3 linked regions of the Saccharomyces cerevisiae S288C genome follow. The protein of the gene in region 1 binds, or shares a complex with, the protein of each later gene. Each region holds a gene or a part of one and is shown on either strand. Other genes may lie near its edges. The genes, in order: SIR4, SIR2 and ESC1. A codon is read from its position in the direction of its gene.

Region 1 (4,351 bases):
AACCATAGTTAACGACCCAACCGCGTTTTCTTCAAATTTGAACTCGCCGAGCTCACAAATAATTCATTAGCGCTGTTCCAAAATTTTCGCCTCACTGTGCGAAGCTATTGGAATGGAGTGTATTTGGTGGCTCAAAAAAAGAGCACAATAGTTAACTCGTCGTTGTTGAAGAAACGCCCGTAGAGATATGTGGTTTCTCATGCTGTTATTTGTTATTGCCCACTTTGTTGATTTCAAAATCTTTTCTCACCCCCTTCCCCGTTCACGAAGCCAGCCAGTGGATCGTAAATACTAGCAATAAGTCTTGACCTAAAAAATATATAAATAAGACTCCTAATCAGCTTGTAGATTTTCTGGTCTTGTTGAACCATCATCTATTTACTTCCAATCTGTACTTCTCTTCTTGATACTACATCATCATACGGATTTGGTTATTTCTCAGTGAATAAACAACTTCAAAACAAACAAATTTCATACATATAAAATATAAAATGTCCGGTGGTAAAGGTGGTAAAGCTGGTTCAGCTGCTAAAGCTTCTCAATCTAGATCTGCTAAGGCTGGTTTGACATTCCCAGTCGGTAGAGTGCACAGATTGCTAAGAAGAGGTAACTACGCCCAAAGAATTGGTTCTGGTGCTCCAGTCTACTTGACTGCTGTCTTGGAATATTTGGCCGCTGAAATTTTAGAATTAGCTGGTAATGCTGCTAGGGATAACAAGAAGACCAGAATTATTCCAAGACATTTGCAATTGGCTATCAGAAATGATGACGAATTGAACAAGCTATTGGGTAACGTTACCATTGCCCAAGGTGGTGTTTTGCCAAACATCCATCAAAACTTGTTGCCAAAGAAGTCTGCCAAGGCTACCAAGGCTTCTCAAGAATTATAAGATCGGTTCTGGTATTTTAAAGAAGGCGGAAGGAACTAAACTGCTTCTCCATTGTAACTATATTAAGTGTCTATTAGACCTTTCTGTTTTTCCTTTTTATTTTTCTATATATAATTTATTGGGTATATAATTAACGGTAACATATGTCATGCATGATATAAATTTTTTGTTGTGTCTTCCTGTTTTCTCTGTTGCTCTGTTTAGGTTCATTGGGCACTGTTGCTTACTTGAACATGATTGAGTAGCAAACACATTCTGTGCTTTGTTCACTTTGATAGTGTGACGAAATTTTCACAACCAAAGGAAAAAAGCTCACGATTGCGCGATCCTGTCACGGAGAACTGTCCGCAGCAGCCCGCGGCTTCTGTCCTTATTCGCCCATTTTTTTTTGATTTTCGACTTTTTCACTCTGGCTAGTTTTATTACGCATATTTGTATATATATATACGCATAAATTTCTGAAATGGATTACCTGGTTTATCAGAAACGAGAGCTTTAATAAAGAAACATTAACGTTTCTCTGGTAAAGTCACCACACAGCATCAAATATAACAGTAATGTCTAGCTCAGAATCCATTAGAATGGTCCTAATTGGCCCACCTGGTGCCGGTAAAGGTACTCAAGCTCCAAATTTGCAAGAGCGTTTCCATGCCGCTCACTTGGCCACTGGTGACATGTTGAGATCTCAAATCGCAAAGGGCACTCAATTAGGTTTGGAAGCAAAGAAAATTATGGACCAAGGTGGTTTAGTCTCTGATGACATTATGGTTAACATGATCAAGGATGAATTGACCAACAATCCAGCTTGTAAGAATGGGTTCATCTTGGACGGTTTCCCAAGAACCATTCCTCAGGCTGAAAAATTGGACCAAATGTTGAAAGAACAAGGAACTCCTTTGGAAAAAGCCATCGAATTGAAGGTTGATGATGAATTGTTGGTTGCCAGAATTACCGGTAGATTAATTCACCCAGCCTCTGGCAGATCCTACCACAAGATCTTTAACCCACCAAAGGAAGACATGAAGGATGACGTCACCGGTGAAGCTTTAGTTCAAAGATCTGATGACAATGCAGACGCCTTGAAGAAGAGATTAGCTGCTTACCATGCTCAAACCGAACCAATTGTTGACTTTTACAAAAAGACCGGTATCTGGGCTGGTGTTGATGCTTCCCAACCTCCTGCTACTGTTTGGGCTGACATCTTGAACAAGCTAGGTAAGGATTAATGACCTTGCGCAATGTCTTCTAAATATCTTTTCTTTTTTTTAAATTAATGAAAATATAATAAATTTTTGTATGTGAGTACATATATCCGCAGTATACTATAAATGAAATAATAACATAAGTGTTTGTAACTGGCTATAACGTCCTTAAACATGTGCACTGCCATTAAGTACTTAGTCAATATTTTTATCGTTGAGAACGAACGCAAATCATATTACTAAATAGATGAACAAAAGCGCATCACATAAACAAAAACGGTATAACAGTAATAGTGAAGCTTTTTATAAACCTATAACGAAATAAGCGCTTTTCAGGTTTTATAATTCAGTCAGAGTTCTAACTGGACATCGTTTTGCAGGGGATAAAAAAAAAAAGGAAGCTTCAACCCACAATACCAAAAAAGCGAAGAAAACAGCCAATGCCAAATGACAATAAGACACCCAATAGGTCCAGCACTCCCAAGTTTACTAAAAAACCAGTAACCCCGAATGATAAAATTCCTGAAAGAGAAGAAAAATCCAATGAAGTGAAGACACCTAAAATTCCATTATTCACGTTTGCCAAAAGCAAAAACTATTCAAGGCCGTCAACCGCAATTCATACCTCACCTCATCAACCAAGTGATGTAAAACCGACTTCCCATAAACAGTTGCAACAGCCAAAATCCTCACCACTGAAAAAAAATAACTATAATTCTTTTCCTCACTCAAATCTGGAAAAAATAAGCAACAGCAAACTACTCTCCCTTCTTCGGTCCAAAACGTCAGCAGGAAGAATTGAATCAAACAATCCTTCACATGATGCTAGCAGGTCTCTAGCAAGTTTTGAACAAACAGCATTTTCCCGGCATGCGCAGCAACAAACTTCTACCTTCAATTCAAAGCCTGTACGTACCATAGTACCGATATCAACATCACAAACCAATAACTCATTTTTATCAGGAGTAAAAAGCTTACTAAGTGAAGAGAAAATAAGGGATTACTCTAAAGAGATTCTAGGCATAAACTTGGCAAACGAACAGCCTGTTTTAGAGAAGCCACTTAAAAAAGGATCAGCAGACATCGGCGCCTCTGTGATTTCTTTGACCAAGGACAAATCTATCAGGAAAGATACCGTAGAAGAAAAAAAAGAAGAAAAGTTGAATATAGGTAAAAACTTTGCCCATTCTGATTCACTATCAGTTCCGAAGGTTAGTGCCGGTGACAGTGGTATATCACCGGAGGAGAGCAAGGCAAGAAGTCCTGGAATTGCAAAACCGAATGCCATACAAACAGAAGTGTATGGAATAAATGAGGAATCTACTAACGAGCGTTTAGAAATAAATCAAGAAAAACCAGTAAAATTAGATGAGAATAGTGCAAATAGTACGGTCGCATCGGCCTTAGATACCAATGGGACGTCAGCCACGACAGAAACTCTAACATCAAAGAAGATCGTTCCATCTCCAAAAAAAGTCGCCATTGATCAAGATAAAATAACACTGCACGATGAGAAAACACTTGCACCTTCGAAGCATCAGCCTATAACATCTGAACAAAAAATGAAGGAAGACGCCGACCTCAAGAGGATGGAAATCTTAAAGTCACCTCATTTGTCGAAAAGTCCAGCTGACAGACCTCAAGGGCGTAGAAACAGCCGAAATTTTTCCACTAGAGATGAAGAAACTACAAAACTTGCTTTTCTTGTTGAATATGAAGGCCAAGAAAACAACTATAACTCTACTTCTCGAAGCACAGAAAAGAAAAATGATATGAACACTTCTGCAAAGAATAAAAATGGTGAAAACAAGAAAATTGGTAAGAGGCCGCCTGAAATCATGAGCACTGAAGCTCACGTAAACAAAGTAACCGAAGAAACCACAAAGCAGATACAGAGTGTACGAATAGATGGTCGAAAAGTGCTTCAAAAAGTACAAGGAGAATCCCACATTGATTCGAGAAACAATACCCTGAATGTTACACCATCAAAGAGGCCCCAGCTAGGAGAAATACCGAATCCTATGAAAAAGCATAAGCCTAATGAAGGGCGAACTCCAAATATCTCAAACGGTACAATAAACATCCAAAAGAAATTAGAGCCTAAGGAAATTGTGCGAGATATTTTGCATACGAAAGAATCATCAAATGAGGCTAAGAAAACTATTCAAAACCCTTTAAATAAATCACAAAACACTGCTCTTCCTTCCACACATAAAGTTACACAAAAAAAAGATATAAAAATTGGAACTAATGACCTTT
Region 2 (4,351 bases), 540 kb from region 1:
GCCAGTGATAACCAAGACAAGTTACAAAATGTATTGAAACATTTGAATGATATCGAGCCATGCGTCTTTGATAAATTTGGTTTATTAGAGAGAAAAGCAACTATTTACATGAAATTGGGTCAATTGAAAGACGCGTCCATTGTTTATAGAACTCTGATCAAGAGAAATCCAGATAATTTTAAGTACTACAAATTACTGGAAGTATCCTTGGGAATCCAAGGTGACAATAAATTGAAGAAGGCTTTGTATGGAAAACTTGAACAATTTTATCCAAGATGCGAACCACCCAAATTTATTCCATTAACTTTCCTTCAAGACAAAGAAGAGCTCAGCAAAAAATTGAGAGAATATGTTTTGCCTCAATTGGAGCGCGGTGTTCCAGCAACTTTTTCCAACGTGAAACCCCTTTACCAAAGAAGGAAGTCCAAGGTTTCACCACTATTGGAGAAAATTGTCCTTGATTATTTGTCCGGATTAGATCCTACGCAGGATCCAATTCCTTTTATTTGGACCAATTATTACTTGTCTCAACATTTCCTTTTCCTTAAGGATTTTCCGAAAGCCCAAGAATATATTGATGCTGCCCTTGACCACACCCCAACTTTAGTTGAGTTTTACATCCTCAAGGCACGTATCCTGAAGCACTTAGGCCTAATGGACACAGCGGCTGGAATTTTGGAGGAAGGTAGGCAACTTGATTTGCAGGATAGATTTATCAACTGTAAAACGGTTAAGTACTTTTTAAGGGCTAACAATATCGACAAGGCGGTGGAAGTCGCGTCCCTTTTCACCAAAAACGATGATTCTGTTAATGGTATTAAGGACTTACACCTTGTGGAAGCTTCTTGGTTCATCGTAGAACAGGCAGAAGCCTATTATAGACTATACCTGGATAGAAAAAAGAAATTAGACGATTTAGCATCGCTAAAAAAAGAGGTTGAAAGTGATAAAAGCGAACAAATTGCGAATGATATCAAAGAAAACCAATGGCTTGTTCGCAAATATAAAGGTTTGGCGCTGAAAAGATTCAACGCTATTCCAAAGTTTTATAAACAATTCGAAGATGACCAGTTGGATTTCCATTCATACTGTATGAGAAAAGGTACGCCAAGAGCCTATCTGGAGATGTTAGAATGGGGAAAGGCACTTTATACCAAACCCATGTATGTTCGCGCAATGAAGGAAGCATCAAAGCTTTACTTTCAAATGCATGATGATCGCTTAAAAAGAAAGTCCGATTCTTTAGATGAAAATTCAGATGAAATCCAAAATAATGGCCAAAATAGTAGCAGCCAAAAGAAAAAAGCTAAGAAGGAAGCAGCCGCTATGAACAAACGGAAAGAAACTGAAGCCAAGAGTGTTGCTGCTTATCCGAGTGATCAAGATAACGATGTATTCGGCGAAAAGTTGATTGAAACCTCCACTCCAATGGAGGACTTCGCTACCGAATTTTATAATAACTACTCCATGCAAGTCAGAGAAGACGAAAGGGATTATATTTTGGACTTTGAATTTAACTACAGAATTGGAAAGTTAGCTTTGTGCTTTGCTTCTCTAAACAAATTCGCTAAGAGATTTGGCACCACGAGCGGTTTATTTGGTAGTATGGCCATTGTTTTGTTACATGCCACAAGAAACGACACCCCCTTTGATCCAATTTTGAAGAAAGTAGTCACGAAGAGCCTTGAAAAAGAGTATTCTGAAAATTTCCCATTAAACGAAATATCTAACAATAGCTTCGATTGGCTGAATTTCTACCAAGAAAAATTCGGTAAGAATGATATAAATGGCCTGCTATTTCTGTATCGCTATCGCGATGATGTTCCGATCGGAAGCTCTAATTTGAAAGAAATGATTATTAGCAGTCTTTCTCCCTTGGAGCCTCACTCCCAGAACGAAATTCTACAGTATTACTTGTAGCCTGCAACTCCTCAATGTGTCAATTAACTCTTACTTAATTTATGTATATATTTTTTATGTATATGCTTATATGCATGCGCATATGCTCATAAAAGATACATTGTTATAGGTCATTTCTTTTCCAAGCTACATCTAGCACTCCTTCCAACCATGGTCCAGGACAGCCAGGACCTTTTCTTGCCAAAATTCTTGCTTTCCCATCTCAGAGAAAAAACGAGGAATTTTTCTTTGTCCTCTTTGGCCGCCAGTTGCGGTAAAATATTTTTTTTCTAGGTCGCATAGTTTGAAAGACTTGTCTTTTTCACCACCCAAGAAAAATATATTTAGTGAAGAGATGTAAAGCCCATTCTCACGTATTTCAAGAAATTAGGCATCGCTTCGGTAGACACATTCAAACCATTTTTCCCTCATCGGCACATTAAAGCTGGATGACCATCCCACATATGAAATACGCCGTATCAAAGACTAGCGAAAATAAGGTTTCAAATACAGTAAGCCCCACACAAGATAAAGACGCGATCAGAAAACAACCCGATGACATTATAAATAATGATGAACCTTCACATAAGAAGATAAAAGTAGCACAGCCGGATTCCTTGAGGGAAACCAACACAACAGATCCACTTGGGCACACTAAAGCTGCGCTCGGAGAAGTGGCATCGATGGAGCTCAAACCAACTAATGACATGGATCCCTTGGCAGTGTCAGCAGCTTCAGTAGTGTCAATGTCCAATGACGTTTTGAAACCAGAGACGCCCAAGGGGCCAATCATAATCAGTAAAAACCCATCAAATGGTATTTTCTATGGTCCCTCCTTCACTAAACGAGAGTCTCTCAATGCTCGAATGTTTCTGAAATACTATGGTGCACACAAATTTTTAGACACTTACCTCCCCGAGGATTTGAACTCGTTATACATTTACTATCTTATCAAGTTGCTAGGCTTTGAAGTTAAAGATCAAGCGCTTATCGGCACCATCAACAGTATTGTCCATATCAACTCGCAAGAGCGTGTTCAAGATTTGGGAAGTGCAATATCTGTCACAAATGTTGAAGACCCATTGGCAAAAAAGCAAACAGTTCGTCTAATCAAAGATTTGCAAAGAGCAATTAACAAAGTTCTATGTACAAGATTAAGATTATCCAATTTTTTCACTATTGATCATTTTATTCAAAAATTACATACCGCTAGAAAAATTTTGGTCCTGACTGGTGCAGGTGTTTCAACTTCATTAGGGATCCCGGACTTCAGATCTTCTGAGGGGTTCTATTCAAAGATCAAACATTTGGGGCTCGATGATCCCCAAGACGTTTTCAATTACAATATATTTATGCACGACCCCTCTGTTTTCTATAATATTGCCAATATGGTTTTACCTCCAGAAAAAATTTATTCTCCATTGCATAGTTTCATTAAGATGCTACAAATGAAAGGGAAATTATTGAGAAATTATACTCAAAACATTGATAATTTGGAATCTTATGCGGGAATAAGCACAGATAAACTGGTGCAGTGCCATGGCTCTTTTGCTACTGCCACCTGCGTTACCTGCCATTGGAACCTACCCGGTGAGAGGATATTTAATAAAATTAGAAACCTCGAACTTCCACTATGCCCGTACTGTTACAAAAAAAGAAGAGAATATTTCCCAGAGGGATATAATAATAAAGTAGGTGTTGCTGCATCACAGGGTTCAATGTCGGAAAGGCCTCCATATATCCTTAACTCATATGGCGTTCTCAAACCAGATATCACATTCTTTGGCGAAGCACTGCCAAATAAATTTCATAAGAGCATTCGCGAAGATATCTTAGAATGTGATTTGTTGATTTGCATTGGGACAAGTTTAAAAGTAGCGCCAGTGTCTGAAATCGTAAACATGGTTCCTTCCCACGTTCCCCAAGTCCTGATTAATCGTGATCCCGTCAAGCACGCAGAATTTGATTTATCTCTTTTGGGGTACTGTGATGACATTGCAGCTATGGTAGCCCAAAAATGTGGCTGGACGATTCCGCATAAGAAATGGAACGATTTGAAGAACAAGAACTTTAAATGCCAAGAGAAGGATAAGGGCGTGTATGTCGTTACATCAGATGAACATCCCAAAACCCTCTAAGTAGAAGGCAATTTAATAATTTAAAAGTGCCAAATTAATATCAATTTACATAGTATGGCAAACAATTTTGTTTTCCTTTCAATTATTGTAGTCAAATATTATTTACATTCTGCTATTTTCATTGTACCGGGTGAAATATTACATGTACCGCCCATCTCACTAAAAAAATGAAAAAAAAAAATCTGCTAAAGACGCAAGGCTCTCACAAATAGCTTAATGTAAGAAGGGCAGGTGGAACAGCAAATTCAAATCATTTAACGCATCCATACATTCAAAATGAACTATTTAGAAGGCGTTGGGTCAAAGAAAGGAGG
Region 3 (4,351 bases), on another chromosome or scaffold:
GGCTCAAGGAATCAATGAAAACTTGCAATATTTTCAAACCAATGCTATTCCAGTTCGTTTGAGTATAATATTCGTAACAGGAAAGGAAAAGCGAGACTGCCTCCTCATATTTCTTTCCCTGATAGTAAAGCAAACCTATCTCAATGGATAAAATATCTACTATCCTTTGACGCTTCCCTTCACATTTGTTGAAGAGAGAAAGAATTTCTTTGGTGAGAGTAAGGAAGTTTTCTTGGAAGACAGTTTCATCGACAAAAGTTTCTTTTAATAGATCAAATTTGTATTTAACGTCACTATTAGGGTAGTTTTTGTCCATTAGTCTATAACCACTTGTAGCCATAACACCTTGCACCCAGTTGTCGCGCTTCAACATTAATAACTCAGCTTTGATTTCACACAAGAGAGGATTTGAGACATTCTCAAATTCAAAATATGACAGCATCGAAGTTATAAAATAGTGCTTAAATTCCAATAATCTCACAGACTTTCTATACTCTATTGATATGGATTCAATAAAATTCTTGATTAGTTGAAATGCTCCTACAAAGGCGGTCAACGTCTGGTCCTCTAGTTTTAGAAGTCTTAACCTTCTAATGAAAAAATACTTATGCAATTGAAACTTATCGAGTGTACCTTCTATTATTATGGAGCCCAGTGATTCATCTGATTTAGAAGATGATTCAAAAGGTACCTGAAGTTTTCCATCCGGCATATTCATGTTTCTACGGAGTATTTCTTTTTTGATTTTTTGCAATTCCAGGCTGGCATCTTCCAAAATATTGAATACCACATATAACTCGTACAATTTTTCTCTTGTCAAAAGCTGTTCCTCAAAGTTATTTCCTTTTTGTAAATTGGCCAACGAATGTTGCAAATGTGTCAATCGTTTTTGAAAGATGCTCAGTACGGAAGCCTTAATCTTTTGGCTAAATTGGTTCCAAAACTCCTGCCTTTCTTTGGGAGATCTATAAACCGATCGAACTTCCAAAGTTTGTACATGCGGAAAGTCTTTGCCAAATTTCTCCATTAGGGATACCGATTTGAATAGGTTAGAGTCCACTACTTCAGAATTGGCATACAGTAAAATAATTGGTTTATAAATCATTTTTTCTCCTGTCGATGAAGATACAGATTCCAGATTTGGTAGCCACTGTCTCACAAGAGGCCGTACTTTGGCCCTGTATTGGTCGATAGAGATACAGTTCACTATCAAAAATCTGATAAACGGCTGTTCATCATTAGACTTGTCTGCCTCCCCTCTACCTTCTGGAATCAATTCAATTGGAAGCCTGTTAACCGTTCGTACAGTTCCGTCAAATGCCTTCCAATGTATATTGTCTAACGGTAAAATCTGCTGAAACTCTGGCCTCAGACTCTCAAATAAATCAAACGGGTCAAAATAGCTGACAGGAACCGATCCACAATATATTTCTTTATCCATCTACTATATTAGCATGTAAAAGCAAGTTCACTGGCTATTTTTATTGCTTTTATGCTCACTTTCTTTCAAAACTTCTAACTTGCACTTTTCACCATTTTCATGTTCCGCGAGCTGTTCTTAAGAAGTGAAAACAAAGGAATTTAAAATGCGAGAAAGTCTTTAGTCCTATTGACAAGTATATTGAACACGTTGTAAATTCACCAAGGGGTTAAGTACAAGAACCAATAAATCTATACTGTGAAAATATGTCAAAAAAAAAAGAAACCTTTACTCCAAGGGCAAATAAACTTAAACTGACGACCCCAAGAAGAAAACTGAAAATACTGTCATCTCTCCTTGACGCGGACGAGGATTCCAAAATGAAAGATCAACATGGGTACTCAAGGGTCCACAATGATAAATACAGAGTAGCAAAGCCTACTCAGCACTCGACTTTACATGAATCTATTTCCTCCAGGCGAAGCAGTCATATTCATAATAAATCCCTTCATGAAGATAGTGCGAGGGCATTAAGCTGGGTAGATTCTCTAATTAATAGGGGGAAAAGTATACTTACTACACTAGAAAAGGAAGATGCCTTGTTTGAGCGTAGTCTTGAGGAGGAAAGACAACGTTTTCAGCTTCATGACTCTTTAATGAACAAGTACACAGGAAACAGTAAATCTCATCAGCGACTAATCGATCTCAGGAAGAGCCAATACGGAACGGATACTTCTTTCCAAAATAATGATGAAATTCCCTTAGATAGTTTCATAAGTTCTCCCTTACCGGACGCTGAGGACGAGTCGTCCTCAAATATCGACTCCGATAAGGATGAAGATCTGGAAGGTAAACAATCTTTAATCAAAGATTTCGATCTTGAAAATGATGAATACGAGCTCTCTGAAGAAGAAAAGAATAGTGACGGCCAAAGTAGTCCTTCAATAATGATATTATCAGATGAAGAATATGCAGAGGAAGGAGCACTACAAGATGTATCGAATGATGAATATGCCGAAGAGGAGGGGCAAGTTGAGAGAAAGAATATAGGGCAAGAACAGGCAAATGTAGAGAATGCTACACAAATTAGTTCTTCTGATTCCAGTGAAGGACAGAATTATTCAGAGGGAGTAGAAATGGAATTAGAAGACGACATTGATGTGGAAAGCGATGCTGAAAAAGATGAAAGTCAGGGTGCAGAAGGAACAGAACATTCGGTAGATTTTTCAAAATACATGCAGCCTAGAACAGATAATACTAAGATCCCCGTTATCGAAAAATATGAATCTGATGAGCACAAAGTCCATCAAAGATATTCAGAAGACGGTGCATTTGATTTCGGTTCAGTAAATATTTCAGTTGACGATGAGTCCGAGGATGAAGAAAGTCAAGCTGAAAGTTACTCAGCAAATGCTGAAAATGTGTACCACCATAATGAACATGAACTGGATGATAAGGAACTAATAGAAGATATAGAATCTTCAGATAGTGAATCCCAAAGTGCACAAGAAAGCGAACAAGGAAGTGAAGATGATTTTGAATATAAAATGAAAAACGAAAAAAGCACGTCAGAAGAAACTGAGAATACCAGCGAAAGCAGAGACCAAGGTTTCGCTAAAGATGCTTATACTAAGAACAAAGTGGAACAACAGGAAAATGACGAAGAACCTGAAAAAGATGACATTATCAGAAGCTCTCTAGACAAAAATTTTCACGGAAACAACAACAAAAGTGAATACTCGGAAAATGTTTTGGAGAATGAAACTGATCCTGCTATAGTAGAAAGAGAAAATCAAATTAACGATGTTGAAGGTTATGACGTAACAGGAAAAAGTGTCGAAAGTGATTTGCACGAGCATTCCCCTGATAATTTGTATGATCTCGCCGCAAGGGCTATGCTTCAATTCCAACAAAGTAGAAATTCGAACTGCCCTCAAAAAGAGGAGCAGGTATCCGAATCTTATTTAGGGCACTCAAATGGAAGCAACTTATCGGGCAGGTCTTTAGACGAATCCGAAGAGCAAATACCCCTAAAGGACTTCACAGGTGAAAACAATAATAATTTAAAAACAGACCGAGGTGATCTTTCATCTTCTGTTGAAATAGAGGTTGAAAAAGTTTCTGAAAAGAAACTGGACGGTTCTACAGAAAAAGAACTGGTACCACTATCCACAGATACTACGATTAACAATTCATCATTAGGAAATGAAGACAGTATCTATTATTCACTCGATGACGCTGATGCTATATCAGAGAATCTTACCGATGTTCCTCTTATGGAAATCAAAACAACTCCGAAATATGAAGTAGTAATTTCTGAATCTGTGTATAGTTCTACTTCTTACGAAGATAACACAGTTGCCATGCCACCGCAAGTGGAGTACACTTCACCATTTATGAATGACCCATTCAATTCGTTGAACGATGATTACGAAAAGAAGCATGACCTACTGAAATCAACGTTAGCAGCCCTTGCCCCAGCTTTCACCAAAAAGGATGCAGAATTTGTGGAAGCTGGAGTGACGAAATCATGCTTGACATCTACATCTGGGCACACAAACATTTTTCACACAAGTAAGGAAACTAAACAGGTGAGCGATTTGGATGAATCTACGGAAAACGTTACTTTTGAAAATGAAAATACAGGTGATGAAAATAAAAATCAAAGTAAAAATTTTCCAGGCGTGGCTAACAGTACTGACAAGTCAACTGAAGATAACACGGATGAAAAGTACTTTTCAGCGATTAATTATACCAACGTTACAGGAGACTCTTCCTGCGAGGACATAATTGAAACGGCTTCAAATGTAGAAGAAAATTTAAGATACTGTGAAAAGGATATGAACGAAGCTGAGATGTCTTCTGGCGATGAATGCGTAAAACAGAATGATGATGGTAGTAAAACTCAAATTTCGTTTTCAACAGATTCGC

What was found.
Region 2: the proteins of SIR4 (region 1) and SIR2 are in contact, whole or in part, in a crystal structure (PDB 4IAO), measured with the Saccharomyces cerevisiae proteins. Residues at the interface, in NP_010513.1 of Saccharomyces cerevisiae: Gly745, Lys746, Met747, Glu748, Leu749, Val750, Tyr751, Asp810, Leu813, Thr814, Ile817, Leu818, Ile821, Ala822, Lys824, Thr825, Tyr827, Asp828, Lys829, Ile832, Thr833, Leu835, Ile836, Glu837, Gln838, Gly839, Ile840, Pro841, His843, Tyr845; in NP_010242.1 of Saccharomyces cerevisiae: Met100 (codon at 2,646), Asn102 (codon at 2,652), Leu105 (codon at 2,661), Lys132 (codon at 2,742), Ser135 (codon at 2,751), Leu136 (codon at 2,754), Arg139 (codon at 2,763), Lys143 (codon at 2,775), Tyr144 (codon at 2,778), Tyr145 (codon at 2,781), Gly146 (codon at 2,784), Ala147 (codon at 2,787), His148 (codon at 2,790), Leu151 (codon at 2,799), Asp152 (codon at 2,802), Pro156 (codon at 2,814), Glu157 (codon at 2,817), Leu159 (codon at 2,823), Asn160 (codon at 2,826), Ser161 (codon at 2,829), Ile164 (codon at 2,838), Ile168 (codon at 2,850), Gly172 (codon at 2,862), Phe173 (codon at 2,865), Glu174 (codon at 2,868), Val175 (codon at 2,871), Lys176 (codon at 2,874), Asp210 (codon at 2,976), Leu212 (codon at 2,982), Ala213 (codon at 2,985).
Region 3: the proteins of SIR4 (region 1) and ESC1 are in contact, whole or in part, in a crystal structure (PDB 6QSZ), measured with the Saccharomyces cerevisiae proteins. Residues at the interface, in NP_010513.1 of Saccharomyces cerevisiae: Ser970, Lys971, Trp974, Glu977, Trp978, Asn981, Arg1066, Trp1068, Lys1072, Phe1076, Asn1079; in NP_013946.1 of Saccharomyces cerevisiae: Thr1446, Asp1447, Leu1448, Pro1449, Ser1450, Asp1451, Pro1452, Pro1453.

Annotation. Positions count from the first base shown.
Region 1 is NC_001136.10:915,039-919,389, forward strand, and holds the start of SIR4 (chromatin-silencing protein SIR4), read left to right. Parts: upstream 1-2,532; coding exon 2,533-4,351. Other genes in the region: HTA1 (histone H2A), read left to right, coding at 492-890; adenylate kinase ADK1, read left to right, coding at 1,448-2,116. UniProt on the Saccharomyces cerevisiae protein: The proteins SIR1 through SIR4 are required for transcriptional repression of the silent mating type loci, HML and HMR. The proteins SIR2 through SIR4 repress mulitple loci by modulating chromatin structure.
Region 2 is NC_001136.10:376,443-380,793, reverse strand, and holds SIR2 (NAD-dependent histone deacetylase SIR2), read left to right. Parts: upstream 1-2,348; coding exon 2,349-4,037; downstream 4,038-4,351. Other genes in the region: peptide alpha-N-acetyltransferase complex A subunit NAT1, read left to right, coding at 1-1,920; spliceosome assembly protein PRP11, read left to right, coding at 4,314-4,351. UniProt on the Saccharomyces cerevisiae protein: NAD-dependent deacetylase, which participates in a wide range of cellular events including chromosome silencing, chromosome segregation, DNA recombination and the determination of life span.
Region 3 is NC_001145.3:705,447-709,797, forward strand, and holds the start of ESC1 (Esc1p), read left to right. Parts: upstream 1-1,686; coding exon 1,687-4,351. Other genes in the region: transport protein particle complex II subunit TRS130, read right to left, coding at 1-1,441. UniProt on the Saccharomyces cerevisiae protein: Involved in the clustering of telomeres at the nuclear periphery, forming discrete subcompartments that accumulate a complex of histone-binding silencing factors like SIR4. Required for SIR4-mediated anchoring and partitioning of plasmids.